Notamacropus eugenii: one gene and its partner. The protein of the gene in region 1 purifies or fractionates together with the protein of each later gene. This does not show direct contact. Links are inferred from orthologs where the notes say so. Each region holds a gene or a part of one and is shown in the gene's direction. Other genes may lie near its edges.

Region 1 (3,908 bases):
CATTTATTTCAAGCTTGAAATTTCCTTCGAAATCCTCTGGCTCAACCCTCTCCTTTCTGAGAGATGGAAACAGTACCCAGGGGAGGGGGAAGTGACACTGTCTGAGTGACTGTGGGCGAGTCACTTCCCTTCTTAGGCGTCAGTGTCTTCATCTGTAAAATAAGGGGGTTCAATTAGGTGACCTAGACTGTGATGAGATCTTGAGGGTAGAGACTGTCTTTTGCCTTTCTTTGTATTGCTAGTGCTTACCACGATGCCTGGCACCTAGTAGGGGCTTAATAACGAGGCAACTGCGTTACAGTGGATGGAGAGGCTGGACCTGGAGGACCCGAATGCAAATACAGCCTCAGCGGTTAAGAGGTAAGAGCCCAGGCAAATTTCTTCATTTATCAGCCTCAGTTTTCTCATCAGTAAAATGGGGATAAAAGCCCCTACCGGCCAAGATAAAATATGCAAAATGCTTCGCAAACCTTACTAACCTTGTAAATTGTTGACTGATGGACTTGGCAGCTCTAAATATATGATCCGCCAAGGACAGTGGAAAGGGTTCATAGTAGAGGACCTGGTTTCAGATCCTGGCTAGATCACCTGCCTCAAGTCATGGCAGACTGAAAGAGGGACCTTTGCTACTGTCCGGTGGATCACAGATTTAGAACTGGAAGGGTTCTTAGCAACCATTCAGTCCATTTCACAGATGAGAAAAGTGAGGCCCTGAGAGGCTCTTGGCCCCAGGTGGCACAGGGTCTGAAGCCATGGAGATTTCTTCCTAAACTGTGGCATCTTCTCAGCCCAAATTCCGAAGTTCTTTCCTCACTCCCACTGGTTACTAGGAGAGCACCTCACACACCTCGCGTAGGAAAACAGCCAGGGCCCCCAAGAGGAGAACATGCTCTTATGTCCCACCACTGGAGCCCGTGGCCCTTTGGTCTGCAGGGTGTGTACGGGATTGGTTTCTGAAGTGTGAGTTGATGAGAGGAGGGCAGGCCGGGCAGTAAGGCCCCACCCATGAGTGGTGGGGGTGGGGAGCCACCTTTCTATGTCCCTCCTGGCACTAGCTAGTGGGTGGGTGGTTCGAGAGAGGGGGAGGTCCCAGGTCGCTGTCTCTTTAAGGAGGGCCGAGTCTCGGGTGTGTGTGAGTGTGACACAGCCTTCAGTGCTCCAGAACAGCTGGTGAGGCCGGCGGCGGCAGCAGGAAGGCAGCCAGGCCAAGGCAGCAGCGGCAGCAGGAGGGCACTCAGGCTAGGCCAGCGTCGGCGGCAGCAGGAGGGCACCCAGGCCAGGGCAGCGGCGGAACCCCCCACCATGGTGAAGATCGTGAAGGTGAAGACTAAGGCGTACGCGGACCAGAAGCCCGGCACGAGCGGGCTGCGTAAGCGGGTCCGAGTGTTCCAGGAGAGCGCCCACTACGCGGAGAACTTCATCCAGAGCATCCTGAGCACCGTGGAGCCGGCGCAGCGGCCCGAGGCCACGCTGGTGGTGGGGGGCGATGGCCGCTTCTACATGCAGGAGGCCATTCAGCTCATCGTGCGCATCGCCGCTGCCAACGGGGTGAGGAGCCGACGCGCGTGGAGGGAGGGCGCGTGGGTTCGGGGGGCCACGTCGGCCTCGATCGCCCGGGACTTCTGTCTCTCACGCACAGCCCGAGGGTCCTCTCACGCCCCCTAGTCCGGCACGTATCCCACGAGCGGGCCCTCGGGCTGGGGGGGAGGGGACGGCGGAACGGGGAAGGGCGGGGCTTGGGGCGGGCTCCAGTCTTCACCTTGGGCGGCCCCTTCCTCCCTCTTCCCCATCTCCCGCCCCCGGGCTTTTGACATTTAAAGTAACCTTTCCCTGAGATTGTGTTACTGGACTGCGCCTTCCGGCCCGAGCTGGGGTGAGGCCTGGGCCCCCGCCCGGGATCCCGGGAGGGATTGGGGCACCAGCGCGCACCCCGTGTCTTCCTGGGTCTTTCTGTTCCCGGGGTTGCAAGCTCTTCCCTCCACCAACCTCGCTAGCCTGTGTCTGGCACCCGGGGGAGGGAAGCTTTCCCAATCCCACTTCCACTCCCGGTCATATATCTGGATCTCTCCCCACATTTTTATTAGCGCACTCTTAGGCACTCTTATGCAACGGGGCTGGGAGGCGGGTCGGGTCAGGCACCCACTCCTCTCGAACCCCGCCGCTCACACTAAGCCATCCCGGGCCTAACTGGGGAGGCCTTGCTACCTGCTGCCGAGGCCGATAAACCAGCCAGGTTAGGATGTGCTGGGGCCTGGGTGCTCCAAGCTTGGAGCAAGGCCAGGAGCTCAAGAAATGGAGGACCCACCAGATAACACTGTGCCCAGGGATCCCCGCTAGAGAACAGCCTGCTGCCAGGGTTCCTCAAAAAGCAGCTTCACTTGAGCATTTCAGATCTAGAACTCAGGGTACACTTGAATTGAACCAGTGGGCTTTCAGGGTTTGCTTTGGTTTTTTTGGAAACCTCCACAATCTAAATTTGGCCTCACTTTATAAAGACCAACCTTATGGCCACTCCCTAAAGATAACTTACATTGGACAGCACTCTATAACCCCACCCCCCAGACACACACACATACGTGAAGGCACATAGATAATTCTATGGGTTAGAGTGGAACTGGAATGGTTCTTTCTGAGCCGCCTCCCTTTTAAAAATAAAGGTTCCCATTCTCTAATCCTATGACTACCTCTATTTTATGAAGAGGTAAACTGAGTCTCATTGATCAGGTACAGTGTCTTTGAGCTAACTGTTAGGCCCCTGAGAAGCTGCTGCAATACCTCAGATTTCTGCTTAAATCTGGTCAGACTTGGTTTCATTCTCTGGTTGCTAGTGACCACTTGGCACCTGGAACTTCAGTGAACTGTCCACTTGTGTTGTTGTTTTAAAGGACTGGGAGCTTGCTACGTGCAGATCTGTACCAGATATGAAGTGTAGAGTCTTACAGAGCACTGCCCAGGGCAGGGAGAGCAGTGATTACTGTGACTTCAGGTGTCCGAACCAGGTCTTGACTCCAAGATTCCTGATTGGAAAAGTGGCCCTCTGGGGGGGGAGGGGGAGGAGCCGATTAACTTTAAAATAATCTTTGTTGATGAAAGAATTAAAATGATAGACTTAGAAAAATGAAAAAAGACTCTCCACGCTCCACATGGACCAGCTGAATTATAAGAATACCGAATGTGGGTTCGTCCTTCGTTGCCGAAGAACACCGTGCCTTCAGAGAAATGATGACATGATTTGCACTTGGCTTTGTTTTGAGTGAGGTCACCAGCCTCACTTCTCCTCCAGAGCCATCTGAAGCCAGTGAACAGATATTCATCAGGATGACTGGAGATGACCCAGAATGGGGCAACTGGTGTTAAGTAACTTGCCCAAGGTTGCACAGCTAGTGAGTGTCAAGTGTCTGAGGTGAGATTTGAACTCAGGTCCTCCTGACTCCTGCACTGGTGCTCTATCCACTGCATCACCTAGCCACACCTAATGCTTTAGTAAATAAGTCTTAGAGTGTTGCCTCAGGACCAGAAACTTTTTCTGGGGTATTCTGCTAGTATCTGAGGCAGAATTTGGGCTTGAGTTTTCCTGAGAGCCCAGCTCTCCCTCCCCTTAGTCAAGACACCTCGGAGATTATATAACTATTTGTTAACAAGGCTTTTGTTTCCTTTCTTGGAATCCGGAAGAGAATTTTGACTGTGGTTGGCGTGGCCTGCTTATTTATTTGTGTTTTGGTAGATCTGAGATTTCACTAGTGTTAAGTTCTTCTCCCCCACCTTCTCTTTGAGGAATCCAATCTTTCTCTATCTTCTTGTCCAGTGTACTTCATTGGCTTTCCTCCTTCTGTGCCTACCTGACTATCCACTCCTCCACATCCTTTCCCAGAGCTGCCTCTGAGTCTCACCCACTTAACCCTGACTCT
Region 2 (3,908 bases), on another chromosome or scaffold:
AGCTAAAAGTTACCATCACCACCTCTGCCTGTCATAGCCAATGGATCAGCCTGAGACCAAAAGGGAAAGGAGGGTCTAGGTGGTCTCCCTTGGGGAGAAATGATACCAGATGGTGATTTGCCCGTCCCCCCCTCTTCCCCTGCATCTCTCCCCTCTGTGTAAAGAACCAGTGTCAAATCCAAAGCATGTCCTTCCTTTGAAGTTTCTTTTACATTTCTGTTTAATTAGTACAGGGTGTCAGCTTAAGATAAAATAGGATAGATCCTAGCAATTTATTTGCATGAGTTTCACCCCTGGGAATGGAAAGCCAGAGAGGACAATGACAGACAAGGTCTACAGAGAAAAGAGAGAGAAAACAGACTGTCAGAAGTGTCGGAATTTTGTCCCAGCTGGGGGCTGCAGAGAAAAATCAAAGAGAATCTTATGGATTTTTATTATTCTATAATTCACACACACACAAGCAGAGAGAGAGATCAAGTCCTGCGACCGGATCACTGACCCCAGCTCATAGTAAGCAGTTTTAACTGGAGAAAGGAGGCTTCATGAGGAAGTTAGCCACAGGAACTGCTTCTACCTCAAACCGTTCTGCTGGTTTGGGTTGGGTTTTCCTTTTTACACCGCCTTTCCATGACAGTTCTTCTTTTCCATGGTTCTCTCTGAGGAGTCCCAGGGCCAGATGACCAGCTCTGTCCACCATGTCTGAGAGCCTCCTCTTTCCTATGACATTTATATTCTCATGTTGCAGTGCCAGGTCTTTGCCTCGGGGGTTGTTCCCGCATTCATTTCTACCCTTAATAAACTTAATAAAGAACTGCTCGCTTATTGATGAAGGGCGTTGTGTGGCTGAAGCTCTGAAAGACTGAGAGACTTGTGCGACAGAAACCAAACAAGTGTTCAGCCATCTCAGGAGCGGAGGGAGAGGACGCGGGCACAGCCGCTGTCCCTGCGCACGGGTGCTGGGCCACAGCCCGAGCCCGGAGCCTCGCAGCTGCCGCGGGGAGTGGGCCGGCTCAGGGTCCCGGGAGGGGCGGAGGGAGCGGGGGCGTGGCCGGAGCGTGGCCACGCCTCGGGAGGCTGAGGCCCCGCCCCCACCCAACCCCTGCTGTGGCCCCGCCCCCGCCCACCCCCTGCTGAGGCCGCTTCTTAAGCCCTCCCCTGAGGCGCAGACAGATGAGGCTCCTTGCGCGACTCATGAAGGTGTTCGTCACCCGGAGGATGCCCCCCGAGGGGCAGGCCGTGCTGGCCCAGGCCGGAATGTAAGAGGGGCGCCCCCAACTCCGACCCCCCACCTCGGCCGGGCCTCGACTCCCCGGAGCCCGTGCGCCCGGCCACGTTCTCGGCCGTGGAGCGGCGGAGCCTGGGCCCCGCGCGCGAGGCTGCCCGGGGTGCGTGCGGTCGGCGGCCCCATTGCACCCCACGCCGCGCGCCCCGTCCCCTCCCGAGCCCGCGCCCCCGGCGCTTGTCCTACTTGGGCCCCCAGGTGTCCTCAGCTGGCCCGGGCGATCCCCAGGTCCAGTGTCCGCCTGGGTGCGGGGGGCAGAAGTGGGGAGCCGGCCTGGGGCGCAGGGGGGCGAGCGGGACAAGGGCGACGCGCTCCAGGGACCGGAGCCGGCCTCCGCGGCCCGGCCCCTCCAGCCCGGCCGTCCCAGCCCGCCCTCCCCGGCCCCGCCGCCGGCCCCGCTGCCGACCTCCCCAGCCCGGCCCCCGCAGCGCGGCGTGGTCCGGTCCGGTCCAAAGGTCGCAGGAAGCACCGAGGGCCCCCCCCCGGCGGGCCGGGCCAGCGGTCCTTTTTGCAGAGGAGGTCCGCAGGGGCCTTCGACAAGGCGCAGGCCTTGCCTGTGCCGGTCAGCCTGGCCTGGCCGGGGTAACCATAGCGCCTCAGTCTCCTCACTCGTAAAATGGACCGTGGGGGGGGTGGGGGAGGGGGAGCCCCCCCAGCTCTGGGGCCACGGCCTGAGGTTCTCTCAAAGACTCACAGTCCCAAGGGTCAGGCTGGGGCAGTTCTTCACTGTTCTTAGCGGGGTGAAGCCACGAGGCTGGGGGGTGCTGCCAAGTGCCCTCGTCATTGTTTACCCAATCCGGATAATGATTTACCCAGTCCCGGTATGACTTCTTGTTCTTTGGGCGCATTTTGAACATCTTTTAAAAAAATAAGGTTTCACTTAATTTTGTGGAAGGAGAAGCGTGCCTGCGTGTCTCTTAAGCCAGGGCGGTTGTATGGAGGTTCTTGGCTGGGCTTCCTGCTGGCTTTGGTGCCCGGCTGTGTAATAAGAGCACCTAGTTCCCAGGATTATGATGAGAGCCAAAAATGCTGCAGGAAGAGCCGTGCGAAGAACCTTGAAACTCTGTATCAATGCTACTGTTACTGTTATTATCACTGCCCCTCCCGTGGAGGAGGAAGGTAACCTCTCATAACATCTCCCTCTTCCCCCCCCCATCCTGGATTGGGTGACTAAATGACTGGCACCCCCTTTGCTGGTCGTTCATGTCCTTGTGAATCTGTTCTATGTGGGTTTTCTTGCAGCCAGGATGGCAGATGAATATTGTAAGTCATAGACTGTGTCCTAATGTCACCTTCTTAATGTCGTTTGTTTTTGTTGAGTTGTTTCAGTAGAGCCTGACTCTTTATGACGACACTTGAGGTTTTCTTGGCAAAGATACTGAAGCGGTCTGCCATGTCCTCCAGTTCATTTTACAGATGAGGAAACTGAGGCAAACAGGGTCACACAGCTAGTATAAGTGTCTAAGGCTGAATAGGAGCTCAAGTCCTCCTGACTCCAGGCCTGGCACTCTGTACACCGACCCAGTGTCCCCTTCATGAAAGGGCAAACAGTAAAATTGACTTTATTCTTTTGAGATTACCCTCCCCTCATGTCCTACTCTGCAATCAATGACAAGATAAAATTTGTTAATACTTTACTTTTGAAGGACTTTATACTTCACTACATGTATACTTTACTATTCTTATGAAGCAAGAGAGTAAGTGGTTGGTCAGTCAAGCCAACTTGGTTTTTCATTCTCTTCCTTCTGAAAAGTTAAGGTCTAGTTTACGCAGGTCTGCTCATCATAACTTGTTAAAATGTTGTAATAAGAATTCTTATGTGAAGATAATACCTCACTACTTACTTCATAAGCTTGTAAAGAAACCGCAATTTGTTATTGGCCCCAATGCAGGATGTACCCACCTCCCCTAGTCTGACTAGAACAAAACCTTATCCAAAAAAAAAAGGAAAAGAATGGTACCAGTGGAAGTAATGAAGACAGAGAACAATGATGATAAAAATGAATAAAACATTGAACTAAATAGATTTTAAATATTTATAGTAAATACGTTTTAATATAATTTCCTGTGCATCAAATGATATGATATTTGTAAAGTGCTGGGTACATAATCTGGCATACAGTAGGCCCTTATTTCCTTCCCACTCCCTTACCCCTAGATCCTTGCTCTCAGAAGCAGTGGATAAGTGCTGGACTTGCAGTCATTAAAAATTTGACTTCAAAGATTCAGGCTTTGACACCAAAAAGTGTTTTGTTTTGTTTTTTCACTTATACCCTGAGTTTCAGAAAGCTTTAAACCTAGTCTACTAATTATATAGAAGGGTTAAGCTTTGCTTTGGATGGCTAGGAAATCATAGGTCCTTTGACATAATTTTGTGTAATTATTTTTCAAGGAATATCTTTTTTTATTTTTAATGAGATCTCAGTTTAATGGCATGATATATTCAGACCAATAATGAGCAATAACCAGTAAAAAAAATTTGTACCTAAGAGGTGTGTTAGAGGTACAAGATAATAACAACAAAAAATTTTTTTATTTAAAGGACAAAATAAAAGATATTTGGGTTTGGGGATTTAATACCATGAAAATCCACATTAATAAAGGTGAATTTTGGTCATTCCAAAGC

What was found.
Region 2: the proteins of PGM1 (region 1) and GRHPR fractionate together in Homo sapiens (co-fractionation; 3 studies listed by BioGRID). This does not show direct contact. The link is inferred for Notamacropus eugenii from reciprocal best matches to the Homo sapiens genes PGM1 and GRHPR.

What each region holds. Positions count from the first base shown.
Region 1 is NC_092873.1:524,161,877-524,165,784, forward strand, and holds the start of PGM1 (phosphoglucomutase-1), read left to right. Parts: upstream 1-1,103; 5' UTR 1,104-1,302; coding exon 1,303-1,548; intron 1,549-3,908. UniProt on the Homo sapiens protein: Catalyzes the reversible isomerization of alpha-D-glucose 1-phosphate to alpha-D-glucose 6-phosphate. The mechanism proceeds via the intermediate compound alpha-D-glucose 1,6-bisphosphate.
Region 2 is NC_092874.1:317,103,220-317,107,127, reverse strand, and holds the start of GRHPR (glyoxylate reductase/hydroxypyruvate reductase), read left to right. Parts: upstream 1-1,103; 5' UTR 1,104-1,170; coding exon 1,171-1,256; exon of another isoform or gene 1,257-1,385; intron 1,386-3,908. UniProt on the Homo sapiens protein: Enzyme with hydroxy-pyruvate reductase, glyoxylate reductase and D-glycerate dehydrogenase enzymatic activities. Reduces hydroxypyruvate to D-glycerate, glyoxylate to glycolate, oxidizes D-glycerate to hydroxypyruvate.